Linked DNA regions of Yarrowia lipolytica. The main gene of each other region encodes a partner of the protein of the gene in region 4 in a complex. Links are inferred from orthologs where the notes say so. Each region holds a gene or a part of one and is shown on either strand. Other genes may lie near its edges. The genes, in order: YALI1_F04259g, YALI1_B04470g, YALI1_C25758g and YALI1_D26730g.

Region 1 (4,409 bases), on a different chromosome or scaffold from region 4:
CCATTGCCTCGTATAACGAGAGCCACGACACCAAGTTGCCATTTGTGTTCCCTCAGTACCTTCTTGCATTCATTAAGAACACTCATGCTGGCCTCATGGTGCTGAATCTGAAGAATGATAAACTGCGAAGAAGTTATGATTCTATCAAATATGATGTGAAGAAGGTGGAGGAGATTATCTATGATTTGACCGTGAGACGGTTGGTCTAAAGACGGTTTCTCCAGGATGTGATTGCTGAAGAGCGTCTGAAAGAAAGAAGAAAAGATAACACGAGAAAACACCAACGCTACAGCCGTTTTTAGAGAGCTGACTATGAAAGACTGGTAACTAATGACTACCGTGCATATTTCAATCAATAATATCAAGAAAACCTATTGGTCTTTAGTCATACACATCTATCATAATGATAACCAGGTTATGTATATTTCTCGTACAGTGCCATATGCAACTACAGTTCAAGTACACTCATAGTGGCCCCCTTATAAAAGCTAGGAAGCTACAAGTAGTCAGATACTGGGATCTTAAAGGAGCTCTTCGAACTTGGATACTCTCCGCGAAACATCAGTATAAGAGCTCTGACCACTCGTACATGGTAGGAGATCTGTTACCCCCTAACAAGGAAAGCACACAGTAGTATCTGTTTCTAAGTAGAAGCAGCCTCCATAAAGTGTTGAAATTGAAAGGACGGGATCATCCGTATCTTAACCTGCTGCAAGTATCGTACTGTTTCGTCTCTTCTGGCGTACAGTAGCTTCCTTACAGTACAGTATGTAGCACCTGATAGGACAGAACTATCGAGAGAAAATAAGCAGCAACGTGCCACAGAATAATGAGCACACCAGGGGCCTATATACGAGTATAGTCTACTTGTTTTTGTACTCTCCTTCGATCGGCCCTTTCAAATGTATAGCTATGGTATGTGCTGAACTGCATAGACTGCTTGGTTCCCCATTACTGCTCGGTTTCTTCCTATGTCACCACTGCGTAGTTCACCAAAGAGTCCGCTCCTGATTTACTTTCATTCTATCCGGTTACGGTTCCGTATCATCATCTCGTTATGCTATTTACAAAACACTTTTACTCACACCGAGTTTGTGCCGATCTGTCCCTATCTCTCTCATTATTTTTTCTCCTCTTCCTTCTTCTTGGGTTCCTCGATCTCGGGCTTGGGCAGCGGGTCCAGCTCCAGCTCGCCCCGGATTCGCTCCATGGCTCGGTACACCTTGGATTGCAGGTAGAAGGAGCCCGACTTGTGCTCCGAGTTGACAGTGTACAGATGAGTGAACTTCTTGTCGATTTGAGCCAGCACTGACTCGGACTCTGCAATGTCCTCCAGCTTGTGTTTCTTGTTGAGCTCGGCAACCACCTTGTCGAGGGCGGTCTCGTCCACGTCGAGAATCTTACAGGCCTCGTCCAGCTGGAGTCCTCCAAACTTGGATGCTGCCGACTTGGAGGTCTTGGAGGCGGCCTGGGCGGTAGCAGCCTGCTTGTAGGCCTGGGTGAAAGCCTTGGCGAAAACCTGGGTGCCGGTCACGACAACTTGATAGATGAGTCTGTGGGCCATGGTGAAATGTGTGTGGTGGTTCTTAGCGGTGTGGAGAAAAGATTTCAGGTTTTTGCCAGAGTTTATTGTTTTGGGAGGTTCGAGGTTGGGAACTCTAAAAGTAAGTCGCAAGACTTGTAGTCGTGCGGATGGACTAGATGAAGGAGTTTCGGTATGAAAATGTGATGGGATTTTTCGCGTTAATCAACTCTTTACACTCTTATTTTTTCCACTTTACGACTTTACTTTACCACCCCAATCGGTCTTTTAATCCTACCCCTTGTCTTAGCTTGTCATACACTCTGCTGCACATGCACTCAGCCTAAACCTCCAAACTTCATCACCACCAGACACACACTCATCCAAGGTGAACAAACAACGAGCATCCCGCAAACAGTACAACACATATACGATATTAAACGACACAGTTCGAATCTACAACAATACCCATCCGTTTGTCGCTGACTAATCACTCCCCTCCACTATGAAATACGCTGTGGACGCGGGTATCATCAAATGCATATGCGGGTTTGACGAGGACGACGGTTTCACCATCCAGTGCGAATCCTGTAACGTGTGGCAACACGCCGTGTGTGTGGGAATCGGCTCCGAGGCGGAGGTTCCAGACGTGTATCTCTGTGACCAGTGTGGACCTCGAGAACTGGATGTCAAAGCTGCCCATGAGAAACAAAAGACTCGCCTGGAGACTATCAAACAGATGCAGGAAAAGAAACGAAGGAAAGAATCGGAAGAGAAGGAGGGCCAGTCAAATGGTGACGCGTCTGCAACTACCCAGGCCACGCAGACTCCTCCAGTGGCCCCCTCTAGAGAATCAACGGAACAGCCCAACAATGAGGAAAACGACTACCATTTCGATTACACTGTGATCCCCAGAAATACCGTGGACCCGGAAGTCAAGGATTATCTTGCCAAGTTGGCCAATGAGGAAATTATTGACAAGGACATCAGTTACATGTCTCTATCGGAGTATTCAAAGATTGTCAAGCCTAAGATGACCTTAAAGCTGTTCCAAGACAATCCAAAGTCCAAGTTCTGTGGCTTTTCTAAGCATGGACTTGTGGCCAATCAGCCTATTCAGAAAGACCGCTTCATCATCGAGTACGTGGGTCATGTTTCACATAAGGACCAGTACAAGGCAGACCCAATCAACCAGTATCGCATCCATCCAGTGCCCAAATCGTCAGTCTTGTTCCATCCAACGCTTCCTCTAGTGATAGATGGTCGTCTTGTAGGCAATGATGCGCGGTTCATGCGCCGTTCGTGCAATCCAAACTGCAGAGTGGCGACTGTCGTGGTTAACAACACCGATATCATTTTTGTCGTGTTTGCAACTGAACCAATCAAGCCAGGTACGGAGTTGACACTCGCATGGGAATGGGACACTCATCACCCCGTGCAAAAGATGCTTCATGGCACTGAAATCGACCAGCTCACCCCCCAAGAGAAACTGTGCCTGGGCAACATGGTAGAGACAATTCTGCAACGAACAGAGTGCTCCGACCCCACAAATTCTCAGTGCATTTTGCAGAAAATGAAGAAATGCGTGTCTGCAAACCCCCGATCTGTGCGAGGCTCGAAAACAAGAGCTCTTAACCTTCTTAAAGAGACGAATGGCGAGGGAGGCTCTTCGTACGAAGATTCGGGCAAGTCGTCATCAGCATCACCCAACCCGGAGCTCCTTCCTGGCTCTCAGGAGCTCAGTGTGGGTTTTGGAATTGGCTCGTCGTACAAAGGTTATGGAGGTTACGGAGGCATTCAGTTCCCGTCTCCTGTGCCTCCCACTTGCATGGACTATCTCGATAAGTTGGACGACGAGCATCGCACCATTGCTCTGGATTACATTGAGGCGTTTGCATACGTGGACCCGCCTTACTACGAAAGAGTACAGGAGCCGGTGTCTGTGCCCAGAACTCCCAAGTCACCGTTCCTTTCGCCATCACTGAAACGAAAAGAAGCTCCTGAGCGAGATGATCAGATCTCTAAAGAGACCCAGACCGTACCCATTGACAAACGACTACGATCTGGAGAGTCATCATCCATCAAACTCGAGTTTCAAGATGAACGAAGCGCCGCTACTTCAGAAGAGGATCCCATCCAGCCAAGAACCATCCCGTTTAAAACCAACCTTTACCGAATGTATCAAGTTCGATCTGCTTGCCCAGAGCCTGCTCCGCCCTCGCCGGTCGTTACAACGTCTTTCAAACGTCTCACTATGAAGGAATACTTTGATCATCCTACAGGCACTCCCTCAAAAGAAATCAAGCCAAAGGTGGAAGAGAAGGGCTCTGAATCGCCTGTCGACGATCGTCGAAACAGTGGAGCCAAGAAGGGCAAGCTTTCCTTTGCTGACTACATGAAACAGAAGAAGAGGGGGGCATAAGACTGCTGCTCTACTATGGTAGCCCGAGTGGTGTACTTTTACTGTATATAGCTGTTATTGTATTTATTCAATGTAAGATGTAAGATGACGACTACCCTGGAGATGAACTGTTCTAGCATGAGCAAAAATACGTTGAAGTGAAAAAAAAAAAATTTACTGCCTTCGACCAGATTTGAACTGATGATCTCAGCATTACTAGTGCTGCGCCTTACCACTTGGCCACGAAGGCAAGGATGTTAGCTCTGAACCTTAAATATTCAATCTACCGAGATATACAAATCACATGACAAAAACCCTAAAAAATGGGGGAAAAACGGGAGAAAAACCAGTAAACAAAAAGAATCAATTGAAAATAAAATTGAAAAAAACCAATTGAATTCTATAATTCTAGTTTGAGAGAAGAGAGATCAAACTTACAAGCTTCTGTAAAGCCATAAGCATCTTACTACAAGTACCATAGCTTTC
Region 2 (4,850 bases), on a different chromosome or scaffold from region 4:
CCTCGCCACCGAGATCGCTCTGGAGAAGTACTCCGAGACTACCGTTGCTTACAACCGACCCAAGGACTTCTTTGGCGAGGGTGATGTGACCAACGATGTGCTCAAGGCTCTGTTCCACCGACCCTACTTCCATGTGCGATGCGTTCAGGACGTCGCCGGTGTCTCCATCGGAGGTGCCCTTAAGAACGTTGTTGCCCTTTGCGCCGGTTTCGTCGAGGGCAAGAACTGGGGAGACAACGCCAAGGCCGCAATTATGCGACGAGGCATGCTTGAGATGATCAACTTCTCCAAGCGATTCTTCCCCGAAACTGATATTAACACTCTTACAGTCGAGTCTGCCGGTGTGGCCGATCTCATCACCTCGTGCGCTGGAGGCCGAAACTTCAAGGTCGGCCGAGCATTCGGAAAGGAGAGCGGCTCCGGCAAGACCATCCAGGACGTGGAGAAGGAGCTTCTCAACGGCCAGTCCGCCCAGGGCGTCATCACATGCAACGAGGTCCACGAGCTGCTCAAGAACAAGAACATGCAGAAGGACTTCCCTCTGTTCGAGTCCACCTGGGGCATTATCCACGGTGAGCTCAAGATTGATGATCTCCCCGAGATTCTTTACCACGCCAACTAGATAGATAGACTGTATTTTATTGCATATGAAAAAGAAGGAAAAGTCTGCGAGCGTAGCGGATGTAGATGTATCGTGATATCACGAAATTTCAGGTTATGTTCTTCTTGTTATGTGATGCTGTACACCTTATTTCATTTTACTTAGGAATGATAACTAACATGGCTGTTTCTTAGACATGTCAACTACTCAGCCCAGCAAGCCCACCATTCAGACATACCACACACATCCACAGAAGCAATTGCATGCCCCATCCACATGAAACATTGCTATCCCCAATATCCCCTCATATCTGTTGAGTCCCAAATACTCAATGCTCCCTTAGGCCGGTTGAGTGGGGCATCAACAGCCGCTCGCCCCGCACTCATACTATATGTACGGTAAAGGAGCACATGGCCCCACAATACGGGTATGTTTAGGAGGGAAATGGCATATTGGGGAGGATTATTATATTACTTGATATGAAAACCAACGGTGACTGCGATCACACGGCTGGAAAGAACTGCAATATGGCTCGATAAGATAGCAATCTATCTTTTTGAAGAGTCGTTCGCCTTACTGTAGTGGCGATTTAGGGTGGTCCTTGTTTGAAAGACTTGTGTCTCTGCTGTACAAGTAAAAGTACAGTATCTGTACTGCAGCTACAGTAGCTGTCTAGAGCCCACACCGAATGGATTTCAGTGTCAGTGACAAGTATACAGTATGCACACAACTCCATAGTGCGACAGTTGAGCGTTTAATTGAAAGCAAATTGGGAATATTGAACAACAAATACCCCCACTGTATGTACACTCCCCCACTGTATGCAAGATTGCACACATTGCCTCGTATCTTAACTCGTATTGGTGCATCTGACCTTATAGTCATACCCATCAGACTACAGGATAGCCTTCGTACGAGGCATCAACTTGGCCTCCTATCCATGAACTATAGAAAAAACATCACGCCTCCGTCTTGTCCACTTGTCCACTTGTCCACTTGTCCACACGGTCCATAAAGATTATAATGCAATAACTATACTTGTACCTCCTTTTATGTTCACATCCCTTCCATTGTCTTTTCAACATACCGCACTGGTCTGTTACATGTGCATCTTCTTGTCCTTGGGCTGAGCAGGCTCGTTCTGGGGAATCTGGGTCTTCAGGAACGCCTGAAGCGACGCAAACGGACTGGCCTGATACTCCTTGGAGTTGAGGATCTTGTTGAACCGCTTGGTCTCGGCCTTGATGATGGCCTCGTTACCTCGAGCATTCCGGGGATTAGGGGTATGATCCAGCTTTTCTCGTGTTCGGCCTCCGTTCTCGGCCTTGAGAGGGTCCAGAAGATCGTCGAGGTTGGCTGCAAGCGTCTCGGTCTCTCGAATTCGCTGACGTCGAGCTTCCTGTCTCTGTTGTCGCTTGATTTCCTTAGCCGTGGCACCATCAGCCATGATGGCATCAATGTCAGCAGGTGGCAAAGGAGTGCCCTTGTTCACCGAAGTCACCCCCTGGGAAACAGGTCGCATGGCAGCCTCGTTTTTCAGAGGGTTTCCGTAGTCGAACGGTCGATCATGAATGGGCTTCTTTCGTTTCAAATCAGCCTTGCTGATGCCTCCTCGCTTGGACAGCTTTGTGTGGTGTCGTTCTCGCTTGGCAGCAGCCTTGTCCTTCTTGGTGGCCTTGGCCTTGTATAGGAACTGTGTGTTTCCCTCGTTCTGTGTTAGATGGAGCTGTACAGCGTCTGGATGTCGTCTCTACTCACCATTCCGTTAGTTGTGTGCTTTGATTTTACCCAGTATCAATTTCGCCCCATGCAAATATCGAATCTTTTCAAATAAGATTTACCAGTACCTCCCACCTGCACTGGGTTACCCGGAGTACATGTACAGCAAATGACCCAATGTTAGTGGAACCATGGTATTAAAAGAACTCCACTCTACTACACAACACATACACACAATGTCCCTTCAGATGCTGAGAAGCCGGGTTGCACTTGCCCGACCTACCCTCGTGCGACCCTCAGTTGGTCAGATGACCAAGCGATTCGCCGGAACCGCCCCCGTTCCCCTCACTTGGGAGCGATTCCTGCTTCTGCGAACCCGAAGACGACAGATCAACTTTGTGGCCTCCATTTTCACCGGTGTGGCCACCTCTGTTCTTGCATGGGGTTTCATTTCCGAGGCCGAGCTGGATCTCGAGCAGCAGGACGTCTTCTTCGGTCTGGATGCCTTCACCGCGGCTGGATTGGGTGTGGTGGCAGCTGGATTTATGGGCTCTCTCCTGGGCCCCACCATCGGCCAGCTCATCTTCAAGGCCACCAACTCCAAGCAGTGGCCCGCCTTCCTCATGAAGGAGACCGACTTCCTGTCGCACATCCAGAAAAACCGAGTGAACCCTCGATACCAGTCCGTCTCCAACCCCGTGCCCGACTACTACGGCGAGAAGATCGGCTCTCTCAAGGACTACCGACGATGGCTGCGTGACTGCGCCAAGTACAACCGTGCCCGAGAGGTCTAAATGTATATAGTAAACAATGATCTGAAATGGAGTGTAGTATGTACACATGGAGCGTGCATGGAGGGCAATATGAGAGCAATTGCTGGACTATGCCATTATAGTGGCAATTGAGTATGAAACGAAGAGATAGGTGCAATAGAACAAATGTGTTGTAATGGCCATGTACTGAAAGCACCCAAGTTCCTCAAATCACCCAAGTTCCTCCACATGTCTCGAATCAGAAGTCAATCTAACATCGGAAGTCAATCTAAGAAGTCAATCTATGACCACAAATAGATAACAAGTACAGCCCCAATGGCAAGACTACTGTACATACTTGTAGTATACGCGTGTTAATCTATATTTCCAAGTTGTACATGCTATGACTGTGTGTTAAACTCACTCACTTGCTCTCAAGCAAATAATCCAACATGCCAACTATATCCTTGTTGTTCTTCATCATCTCCTGATACTCATTGCTATCATCATCCCAGCCAAGGTACCGAGCCTTGTTATCTCTCTCCTGCTTGAGCACCTCTTTGTCCACCTCAATATCCTGACCCTCTACTTTCATCCATGCAAATATCGTGTCCAGAACCACCACCAGCCTGCTTCCTAGCATCTCCATGTCAGTCACGATCTCCTCAGTGTCCTCCTCATTGGCCAATGCACTCTCCAGTGCGGGAATCATGGTATCTACAGCCTGTTGTGTGTCATCTCTGAGCTCCTTAAGCTCATCCAACTTAGCCTTGTCCATCTTGGCTATCACTCTGACTCGTTCAGGCGAATCCGAAGGCAAAAGACGCAGCAGAGAAGCATATATGGCCCACAGAAACTCCCCATATTCACTATAGGTCTTGTAATGCTTGTTCTTGCCTGCCTTGAGAGCCTTGAACAAAACACCCAAACCCTTGGCTTGCACAAACACTGTAGCCAACTCCGTGGAATCATAAGAGTTCAGAGCAGCCTTGATAATACGAGCAGCATGCTTCTTGATCCACTTGCCCTCTCCTCCCATGAGCCTCACCATGGCATCCACACCCTCAACTTCAGCGAAAGCTGCTCGTCCGGAAGGACTGGTGAGAATATATGCGAGGATACCAGCTATCGATCCAGCCAGTTCCTCCTCGTCCCCCTTGGTGGGATCTTTATCAACGTAGGCCATCAGGTATTTGATAAGTGCTTCCACTCGTTCAGCAGACACTCCGGTTCGATACTCGTACTTGGTGAGCCAAGTAAGACAGTAATCAGCCATGGTTGATCTATCATGCAAAAGTAGGGGTGATTTCTTGTCGGCGAGAAGATCCAGAAACTTGGGGAAGATGTGCGTTCGTAGCTGTGGGGTGATATCGTCCTCAACAAACATAACGTCTCCCATGTCGAGAATATACTGGATCTGTGTAGGATCAATCCTGACGATTTTGTCGGTCAGTTCCATGATGTAATCGATGAAGTCGTCGTTAGACCATAGAGACCTAGTGAGGGCATCGGGATCAGCGAAATCGTTGGTGCGAGTGATGAGCTCGTGGAAGATCTCACAGGTGATGAGTGCAATGTCGAGGTTGGGATGGTCCAGAAGCTGCATCAAAGACACATGACATTCAAAGTCGGACACAAATCGTTTGTAGACAGTTATAAAGTCGTCATCATCTGTGGTAGTAAGCACACTGAGAGCTCGAATGGCCTTCTCAAGCTCCACTTCAGAGTCCATGAACTTCAGAGGTTCATTAGCAAACAATTCTCGTTTCTCCGTGTTT
Region 3 (4,653 bases), on a different chromosome or scaffold from region 4:
AGCGATTCGAGGGTATGGGCTACACTGCCTACAACAACTTTCATCCAGTCGTCAGCAAACACGAGAACTTTGACCAGCTCGGATTCCCCGAGGACCATCCGGGACGAGCCAAGACTGACACCTACTATATCAACCACGACACCCTTCTTCGAACTCACACTAGTGCCCATGAGGTCCACTGTTTCCAGCACACCAAGACGCCCGGTTTCTTCGTCACTGCCGACGTTTACCGTCGAGACACCATTGACCGAACTCATTACCCTGCGTTCCATCAGATGGAGGGAGCTCGAACCTGGAAGCGAGAAGACTACCCCTCCGAGGAGGCTCTGATTGAGAAGCTCCGAGCTGACGTGGCCGCAATCCCCGCTACCAACCTCATTGTCGAGGACGTCGACCAGGTTTCGCACCCCGAGAACCCCAAGTCCCCCTACATGTCTGATACCGAAACCGAGCTTGTCGCTGCCCATCTCAAGAAGTCCATTGAGCTGCTTGTTGGAGATATTTTCGAGCGTGCCAAGGTAGCTGCTAAGGTTGCTGGGTCTACTGATCCCGATCTCGAGAAGCCCCTCAAGGTTCGATGGGTCGAGACTACTTTCCCCTGGACCACTCCTTCATGGGAGATTGAGGTGTGGTGGAAGGGTGACTGGCTCGAGTGCTGCGGATGTGGTCTTGTTCGTGATCACGTGTACTCGGCCTCAGGTCTTGACAAGCACACCCATTTCGGCTGGGCCTTTGGTCTTGGTCTGGAGCGCCTGGCCATGATTCTGTTCGGTATCCCCGATATTCGACTCTTCTGGTCTCTTGACCAGCGATTCCTGTCGCAGTTCAAGCCTAACGAGATCACCGCTTTCAAATCCTGGTCCAAGTACCCCGGCACCGACCGAGATGTGGCCTTCTGGCTGCCCGAGGGCGCTGCTCTGGACTCCATCCACGAGAACGACATCATGGAGCTAATCCGAGCCACCGCCGGCGATCTGGTCGAGAACGTGGCTCTCACCGATACCTTCACCAACCCCAAGACCGGTCTGACCTCGCAGTGCTACCGAATCAATTTCCAGTCCATGGAGCGAAATCTCGAGAACCAGGAAATCAACCAGATGCTCGACGCTTTCAAGGAGATGCTTGTTGACCGATACGGCGTTAAGCTGAGATAGTACGATAGTGTGCCGAACAGTGTCACGCACAAGTACAAGTACAAGTACAAGTGCTTGTAAATGTATATGTAAATAGTAAACGATCCATGTTTTATCACGTTTTGCGAGCATGTATGAACAATTGATGTTGAATAAGGCCATTGAGTCCTTAGAATCTGAATCTTTAGTACAACTCATCATCCGATCACCTTTTTGGGTATTGATTTTATCTACAGGTGACATTTTCTGAAACATTACTCATTACTATATACATATTGGATAATTTGTGGTGGAATTACTCGCCCTTAACAACTCCGACCTTGGCGGCTCGCAGAATTCGGTCGTTAAGAGTGAAGCCGGTCTGCTGGACAAAGAAGACGGTGCCGGCCTCCTTGTCGGGCTGGGGGGCCTCGAAGACGGCCTCATGCATGTTGGGGTCGAAGACCTCGCCGACGGGCTCGAGCTTCTTCATGCCGTGCTTACCCAGAGTCTTCTCGAAGATATCCTGGGTCATCTTGATGCCGTCGTAGAAGTTCATGATCTCCTTGTTGTTCTCTCGGTCGTTCTTGATCTCGTCGGGGACAACGCCCAGGGCTCGATCAAAGTTGTCGACCGAGTCCAGCAGGTCTTTGGCGAACTTGGCCAGGGCAAAGTCGTGTGCCTTCTTGATTTCTCGCTTGGTGGTCTCCTGCAGGTGTCGGAAGTCGGTGATGGCTCGCTGGTAGTGCTCCTTGAACTGGGCGCACTCCTTGTCCTTCTTCTCGAACTTGGCCAGCAGAGCCTCGTACTCCTCGGCGGTGGGGGCGGTCTTGGTCTCGGCAGCGGACGCACCAGAAGCGGAGGCGTCGGCGGCGTTGGCCGCGGGACCAGCAGCCTCAGCAGCGGCCTCAGGGTCCTCAGCCTTGGTTTCAGCCTTGTCGGAGTAAAATCGGGATCGGAGGTTGAAGGAGGCCATGGGGGCCACGGTGGCGGGTCGCATGGCGGATCGGACGGTGGATCGGACGGCGGCCGACCGCTGGACACGGGCAATTCGAGAGATCATTTTGTGTGTGTATTTCGGGCGGTGTTTGGGGGAGGATGAAGAGGTGTTGTTAGTCTCGAAGAATGGAAAATTCAATTCCCCAAAATTAACTTTGAACCCACAGTTGCCCTTGAAGTGGAAGCTTAGCGAAGGTTGGAGTAGGAGTTGGGAGAATCCATCTGACAGCGGTTGGCTCAAGGTCAGGCGTCATAAGTTAAGCAAGGCGTGCGAACCAGCAACAATGGGTTGCCCTGTCTCAGGCATATGTCTTAGGCCGCGAAAGCACGTGAATTGACTACTACCGAGACCCATGACCAATTTCTCCTTCATTTCCCCCCCCCCCTCACTTAGACTTGCACCGCAGACCACGTGACCAACCCGGAGAAAGGGGCGGAACAATTGCCACCGCTGGGGAAAGGCGTCACATTCGTGTGGCCTGAATCGATGGGTTAGTCAGCGTGCGAGTGACTAATGCCCGCAATTGTCTCTGTCTGGATCCAAAATATGCAAAATATGCGACTATATCGTCCATAGCCGCCCTCTACACCACATGCTCCAGATGAGATGGTGATGAGATCATGCATGGTCATGCCAAAAGCTGTAAAACAGAGTGCGGCTAGACACGCGAAATCTTCCGCGGGGGTGGTGGGAAAAAGTTGTGAAACCACGCTATGTTTGGCGTTGCAATCGGCGACTGTTTGATTGGTTGGATTTTTGAGCTTTGCGTATTTGTCGTTGGATGGCGATGTGTAGTCTAGTGGTGTTGATGATAAGTGTGTTAGTTGAGACTCACGTACCATCTCGCCAATTATGATTGTGAGGTTCATAGTTGCCGCCATTGCCGTAATTGAAGTGTACCGTCATAGCTCTGGTCAGTCCCTGAGATAGACAAGGACGGAACTTCAATTGCAACACTCGAAGCTATCTGAAAAAGAGTGTTATCATCGCATCATACTGATCAGTGAATAACCTGTTGTCTGGGTGAAAGAAGGATGTACCCACCCTGCTCCACAACCGCACAAGCGAAAACATGACAACGATGTGCATCGCGGGGACAGGATCAATGACAATCAACAGATCAGCATTGTGTCCGACCAAGACCCACTGTTTCAGAACAGTTGGTTCCAGAAATGGCCGAGAGTGTCATTTCGAATAGCAAATGTGGGCCATCCCGAAGCTGACGGAGCGGCAGAACGTCACATCAAGGCTGTGAAAGAACGACTCAAACCATTCTCTCAGGAAAGGTCTCTCACAGGGAAGACTATCTACTTCAAGGGGTTGTGGTAGCAAAGTCATGTCTCGCTAGTCTGCAACTGGTACATAGTCTTCCGGCACTGCATGGCTCTTCGCGGCCAATCCCGATCCTGGCCAGATATCGAATACAGGAAAAGGAATGCACGGAGATTTGGGGTAGCTATCTTCCCCGCAAAAATGGAGCGATCGGAAGATAGTACATACTTGTACTTATGATACAAGTGCGAGTACGGTACCCGTATTGACGAGAGCGAGTACTACGAGAGCGAGTACTGACGAGTACCGATGTTTCAGCACAGACTAATGTTTGCGGTGACACAAGCACTGATAAGACAGATGACATTTGCAGAGAGGGATTCACTGGTAGTTAACTCATCAGGGCACTGTTTCCCTCCACAGTGAACAGTCTCCTCAGATCAAGTTGAAAAGTGGACATGCCAATTGCCCTGTCCGAACGAGATAGAATAAAACACATGCATCTGGAGCGTCGAAAGGCATCTTCCGGATACACACGGATCTTTTGCACTGATATCAGACCCTGTTATCTGGCCCAAAACCGACAAACCCTTCTCCAGTATTCCTCATTGGATTTTCCAGCCGCATGAAAACATGATATTTTGTCCGACCCAAATGCGAGCCGCATCTCGGAGACGATGTATCCGGGAAAGGATAAAGAATTTCAGGGTGAATAATTGTTGGATTTGCATTGTTGATGGCTTATCTTGTTCTCTCGATCGTGGGGAGTGTAATGATATAATTTTTATGGAGATCGATCAACAGCATCCATCTCAAATACTGTCCGATGTTTGGAAAAAAATTCACCGCCCACTTCAGTGCACTGCAACCCCTCCACCTAAGAGCTAGACGTCTACGGTTACATATCGCCCCAGTATGGCACAAGAGATATCGAATTGAATCGAATAGCTTGGAGTGTGTGTGATTAGAGGATTTGTATCTGACCACAAAAACATACAACTACAACAGATAGTCGTTCTGGTTGTCTGTAGTTGCACGTTCTTCAGCTCGAGATCCAGCTCCAATGAAATGTCACTGCTCCAGGTGTCATTTACAGTATGCTGATCATCTGTCAGCCCTATGCACTCATACAACTACTAACAGTCATGTTCAGGTCATATCAATTAAATAAAATAAACTAAGGGAAGTTCTCAGGCGAAGGACCAAAGGTCTCTCCAGCGGCCAGGGGTTTCAGAATGGCACCCTTAAAGTCCAGGTTGTCGTAAGACA
Region 4 (5,274 bases):
AGCTCAGAAGGTGAACGATGAGGAGTCAACAAGATGGAAGATCCAGGAGAAGCAGTTGGAGGACGATGATCTTGTGCTCAACAGAAAACGCAAGCTGGGTAGCGATAGCGATAGGAAAGGTATCAAGGTGGACTTGAAGCAGGAAGATGGCGTTAAAAAGGAGGAGGTTGAAATGAAGACGGAGGACACTGACGTTAAAAAGGAGGAAGGAGAGAGCAAAGGAAGCATGTTCAAGCGGAAGAAGAAGAAGATCAAAAGTTGATTTAGCGAGTGTTGACAAAGCTAGTGACTACTACTGAGCAATACGGCGGTCTGAGTACTCCTCCCTCGATGACGACATCAGGATCCAAAAGCAACGTCACGAACAGATCGAGAGGTTGTCCTCTTAAGATAGTTTTGCTGAGATTCACTTTCGGTTGTCGCTCTTCACGAAAGCATGTGGACCGAGAATTCAATGTCACTTGACGGACGTCTGCAATTGGTTCTTACGGAAAGAATCGAGAGTCTCGATTGTAACACCGTTGGATAGTCCCCGACGAGCTGATTCTCCTGTCTACCAGTGTGGACATTAGTATCATACCACATCTAACAACAACAACAAAAAAACAACAACAACAAACAACAAACAACAACAACAACAAAACAACAACAACAACATATCACATTCCACAGTCTCAAGTAACAGATATAGTAAAAAGCCCTTAAACGATTGGACAAGCCAGTCTGCCTACAGGCAACTGCTCTACGCCCATAACTATCATCATACATGTCCATGACTGACCTACAAGTCCTAACCGTCTATGTATTGACCAGTTTCTCTTTTGTATCTATAAACCCAGTTACTGGATGTTCTGAAGCCTACGATTGCACTTGCCATTATCACTCGCTAGCACTTGTCATTATCTTGGTTCATGGTTGAGTGAGTAGTGTAAGTAGCACATGTCTTCAGGTTAACACTTCTCCGGCTGACTGGCTCCCTTGCATCATGTATTACTTCATCGCCAGCTCTGGGGACACTCAAATCATAACATACATTCATGAGGGGCCTCGGCCACCTCCTCGCGCTATTTACATATATACACTCTAAGTCCACGATCGAGAGGCTCCCCGGACCATTTCCAAAATCTTCCATCCGCCCGTCTCGGGATTGCCCATGTCCTCAGGCACTCGGGTCAGCACCATGACGTAGGTGGACTGCTGGATGTTGTCTTCGGTTCCAGCAGCCAGCTCGCCGGTCTTGGCCTTTCGGTACAGATGCACCTCCTGAGCTCGGCAGGAGATGACGTAGACAGGCACGTCGGACGGTGGCAGCACCTTGGCGGACATGATATCGACTCCTCGAATGTCAAGAATCTTGCCGTCAGCGAAAAGACCCTGCTCGGTGTACTGCTTGGTCTGGGTGGCCCAAATGTTGTAGGGGGCCTCACTGAGCCACATTTTGAGGGTCTCGCCGTCGCCGGTAACCCACGCCTCCAGCACTTCGGGAATGATGTACTCTCGGGTAGTCTTCATGAACTGGTCCTGGTTAAACGACGGGTCCATGAGCTTGAACATTCGGATCACCTTGCCAGCCTCGGTCTCGTCAAACAGTCGGCCCACCTTGGAAGTCACGGCTCGCAGGGTGGCGATGAATCCGTTGTCGGACTCCTCCCACCACGAGGCCACGCCCTTTCCGGTCTTGCCAATGACGGAGTTTTCGTCAAACTTGGGCATTCGCCGGTTGGAGGCCCGGGCGGTGGCATGGACCACCAGATCACTGCCAGCCTCCTCGTTGGGCATGACGGGGCCGGTCTTGACGCCGGTTCGCAGCTCCTCCTCGATTCGGGCCTGCTGCTCGGCCATACGTCGAGATCGTCGGCTGCCCTTGTCCTCGAAACCTCCATATCGGATCGACGATCCGTCGTCAATCACGTCCTTGATGTCCTTGTACGCCTTAGTCTTTCGAATGGGCTCGGCAGCCTTGTCCAGCGTGTCGGCGGTGACGTTGATTCCCTTTCGGGTGGCCTGGCCAACGGGCGAGTTCCACGCCGCTCCAGCAGCAGATCCAACCGCTCCGGCGGCCTTCTTGAGCTGCTTGGACGTGGCAGATGAACCCTTCTGCGCATTGGCATACGCGGCCTTGGCCCGCTTGAAGGTCTCACTCTCGGCCATTCGGCCAGTCTCGTCGTTCAGCGCCTTGATGTTGTCCTGGAGCTCCTTGGACTTGCCCCACTCCTTCTTGAACGTGTCCATGAAGACCTGCATGGGGGTCTGGTCTTTTTTGCCCAGCGCACTGGACGCCGAAAACCATCGAGTGGAAGCCGGCTTGGCCACCTGAAGACACTGTCGAGCTCGTAGCATGGTGGAGTGGTGGTAGATAGTTGTAGTTGTAGAGGTAAAAAAATGCACCGAAATTTCACTTTGCAAGAATGGGTGTTTGGGACCTTCCAGAAGTTTATACCCACGGGCCAAAAGGGTCTTGCAGCGGCCGATGGAGTGGAGATGGAGCGGATCTGAAAACATAGTTCGACTCGCTGCATCTTTCTCTACATCTCTACATGTCCGAAAATCCGTTTCGGACCCCAACTCGTCGTCCAGAGCCACCCTCCCAAACCTCCGCTGACTCACCGACGCTCAACCAAGGTTTGTCTGGGGTTAAGCAACCGACGTTGAGAGGGGTGAGGGCAAGCGAATGGGTGTGTTTTGGGGCCAGATCCCGGACAGTGGACACAAGTATGAGAGTCTGTGTTGCTCTGGGGGGCATTTCCGACACTTTCAGACCCAAAAATACACATGAGTAAATCTGAGTATGTGCATAAAAGTGAGCTTCTCGCAAATCGAACCAACATCCTTATAATTGATGAGCCGCACGTCAATCTCAGCGGAGAACAGACAAGTTTTTTCCTGGGTGGTTTTTTTTCTCTAGAATAAATAGAATAAAAAATATAATAAAAAAGAACCGGTTGTGTCACGTTTTCTGTCCATTACAACAAAAAATTGGTCCGTTCTTGCGTCGATTGGATTGTAACCACTTTGCCGGCGGCATCATACACTGCATCGTAAGGTTGTGACGGTTTACTTGAAAGAAAGAGTATTTACTTGGAAAAAACACAACTTTACTTGAAAGGCCCAAGTAATCACACTGAGCTATGGAGAGATGCGTTTTTTTGCCACTGGAATCACAAGACTCGGATTCCAACCATCTGTTCTCTCTATCGCATTCCTCTCATCGCCCACCTGCCTGTTTCCCCCTCTGCCACACCTCACTGGTGCCCTTCATTTCCCTGCGCTTACATAATCCCCGACCCATCGCGACATGTGCATGCATATTTTTTTTAAGCGGACCACCATAGACCCAAACAACGGCATAGTCAGGAGCTCTAGGCCGATATCCAGCTTTGCAAATGGAGTCCAGCGGTGGCCGCCAAGGTGCTAATCGTCATATCAACCAAATCAACGCCATTCTGACAGGCACTCCGGCAAACGCCAGGAGAGACAGCCCGTCTCCATCACTACACCAGCAACAACAGGTGCCTGCTTCGGTGCAAATCCGAGCGCCAAACACCCGTCCGTCGTCGCTCGCGTCTTTACACGAGCGCTTTTCCATCGCCCAGAGACCGGTTCAAAGCGGGAGCTCCAGGTCAGGCCTCCAACACACCTATGGCCAACGCAAGAGAGCGTCCCCAGAAAACGAACGACCGCCTCACAACGATATTCGCAATCGCCCCAAGGTCAAGGGGTTCGTGAGCAATAACAAGTATCTTTCGGCCGTCAGTAAGCGCCACAAAACCAACCCCGAGCAGCCGGGAGTGGTGGAGATCGGAGGAGACTCGAAGCGTATCGTGGCGCGGCCGTATTCGACTCTCAAGAAGACTCCGTCGATCGGAATCCCTTCAGATTTAACCTCTTCTCGTCTCTCGCATCCGTTGTTGAAGAAGTTTGTTAAAGGCAGTGTATCCAAGCCTACCATCAAAGAATTGAACGATACCACCGACGACGAGGATCTGTTCCCGAATAATAAGACCAACCCCGACGTTCCCGAGAAGAAGACTAGCGAACATGTTCCGCCATCGCCACAACCGGCATCGAAACACAAACCCAATGACCACTCGCTTTCCAACTTAGACACCCATTCTGTATCATCTTCCTCAGATGACGATGATCGGCCCATGAAGACCAAACAAGAAAAGGCTCTAGAGAAGGACAGGAAGCATATGAGCGAAAAGAAGAAAAAGGGTAAGAGAAGAGACTACACCTTGCTTAAACCTGCTCCTCTTGGAGACTTCTTGGCTCAAAGACCGAAGGAGGAGACGAAACCCCCACCTGCCTCGTTTCAGGTGCTGGAAGTCTACTTGGACGGACATACGTGGAATCAGGAGTACACGGATTTGAGGATGGAGGCAGAAGGGATCTCTACTGGTGGGGAGGACGAGAATCGACTAGTTATGGATGTCACCTATTACCTCAAAAAGGCTATGAAGGTGAGCATCAGGCCGTGTCCTATTATGACAGACAAAGCTATCACCATTCATCTCGACGACATTCAACCCGTCAAGTACAATGAGTCTTTTCAGGTGTTGATTTTTGAGGGTCTCTCGGCAGGAAACATTCTCAGTGACGGTTCGTTTTTCGAGACTTTGGCTATCAAGCTGGATCCTCTGGTTCTCAACGAGCAGGTGGAGCGATTTTTGAATCTCTTGCCGTGTTTCCATAAAACATTGGACGACAAGATTGCTGCGGAACAGCTTATATCTTTAGGAGGAGACCGCAAGTTGTTTGAAAAGCGTCTGGAGGAGGTCAAGGCCGTATTGGAGAAGAAGAAGGAGGATATGGAGGAGGATATGGAGGAGGACAAGGCGGACAAGAAGGGCGACGGGCTCGATGTGGCTTTCCCTCTGCGTCGCTCCACCCGATTGGCAGCTACCAAAACCCCATCTGTTGCCTTTCCCGACTTTGGTGACACGCATCATTACCAGACCAAGAGCGGGAAGCAGATGGAGATCACAGCCAAGGATGTGGAGCAGTTGCGCGAGTGCGAGTATCTCAACGATACGCTCATTTCGCTCTTTCTTCAGATTGAGCACGACAAGTTGCCAGAAGAGGGTGATACCAAAACTGCCCACAGACTCTACAAGGAGGCTTTGCAGCTGGCTACTGACAAGGCCGGCCGAATGCCCGAAGAGATTTTCTACAGGCCATTGACTTACTCCAACACATACGTCTTCTCCACCTACTTTGTGCACAAGCTATTGTCACTTGATACCAAGAGACCCGCCGAAAAGTACCAGCTGATGA

Evidence for each region.
Region 1: YALI1_D26730g (region 4) and YALI1_F04259g share a complex: the UniProt entries of both Saccharomyces cerevisiae proteins name them as parts of the PAM complex. The link is inferred for Yarrowia lipolytica from reciprocal best matches to the Saccharomyces cerevisiae genes TIM44 and PAM16.
Region 2: YALI1_D26730g (region 4) and YALI1_B04470g share a complex: the UniProt entries of both Saccharomyces cerevisiae proteins name them as parts of the PAM complex. The link is inferred for Yarrowia lipolytica from reciprocal best matches to the Saccharomyces cerevisiae genes TIM44 and PAM17.
Region 3: YALI1_D26730g (region 4) and YALI1_C25758g share a complex: the UniProt entries of both Saccharomyces cerevisiae proteins name them as parts of the PAM complex. The link is inferred for Yarrowia lipolytica from reciprocal best matches to the Saccharomyces cerevisiae genes TIM44 and MGE1.

Annotation. Positions count from the first base shown.
Region 1 is NC_090775.1:424,396-428,804, forward strand, and holds YALI1_F04259g (uncharacterized protein), read right to left. Parts: upstream 1,565-4,409; coding exon 1,121-1,564; downstream 1-1,120. Other genes in the region: YALI1_F04238g (uncharacterized protein), read left to right, coding at 1-209; YALI1_F04264g (uncharacterized protein), read left to right, coding at 2,028-3,944. UniProt on the Saccharomyces cerevisiae protein: Essential component of the PAM complex, a complex required for the translocation of transit peptide-containing proteins from the inner membrane into the mitochondrial matrix in an ATP-dependent manner.
Region 2 is NC_090771.1:444,548-449,397, forward strand, and holds YALI1_B04470g (uncharacterized protein), read left to right. Parts: upstream 1-2,511; coding exon 2,512-3,114; downstream 3,115-4,850. Other genes in the region: YALI1_B04433g (uncharacterized protein), read left to right, coding at 1-622; YALI1_B04466g (uncharacterized protein), read right to left, coding at 1,701-2,123; YALI1_B04497g (uncharacterized protein), read right to left, coding at 3,497-4,850. UniProt on the Saccharomyces cerevisiae protein: Component of the PAM complex, a complex required for the translocation of transit peptide-containing proteins from the inner membrane into the mitochondrial matrix in an ATP-dependent manner.
Region 3 is NC_090772.1:2,573,405-2,578,057, reverse strand, and holds YALI1_C25758g (uncharacterized protein), read right to left. Parts: upstream 2,176-4,653; coding exon 1,429-2,175; downstream 1-1,428. Other genes in the region: YALI1_C25782g (uncharacterized protein), read left to right, coding at 1-1,154; YALI1_C25747g (uncharacterized protein), read left to right, coding at 3,185-3,294, 3,341-3,605; YALI1_C25742g (uncharacterized protein), read left to right, coding at 3,694-3,793, 3,838-4,013; YALI1_C25703g (uncharacterized protein), read right to left, coding at 4,562-4,653. UniProt on the Saccharomyces cerevisiae protein: Essential component of the PAM complex, a complex required for the translocation of transit peptide-containing proteins from the inner membrane into the mitochondrial matrix in an ATP-dependent manner.
Region 4 is NC_090773.1:2,670,205-2,675,478, reverse strand, and holds YALI1_D26730g (uncharacterized protein), read right to left. Parts: upstream 2,503-5,274; coding exon 1,084-2,502; downstream 1-1,083. Other genes in the region: YALI1_D26759g (uncharacterized protein), read left to right, coding at 1-262; YALI1_D26749g (uncharacterized protein), read right to left, coding at 264-384, 431-585; YALI1_D26721g (uncharacterized protein), read left to right, coding at 3,384-5,274. UniProt on the Saccharomyces cerevisiae protein: Essential component of the PAM complex, a complex required for the translocation of transit peptide-containing proteins from the inner membrane into the mitochondrial matrix in an ATP-dependent manner.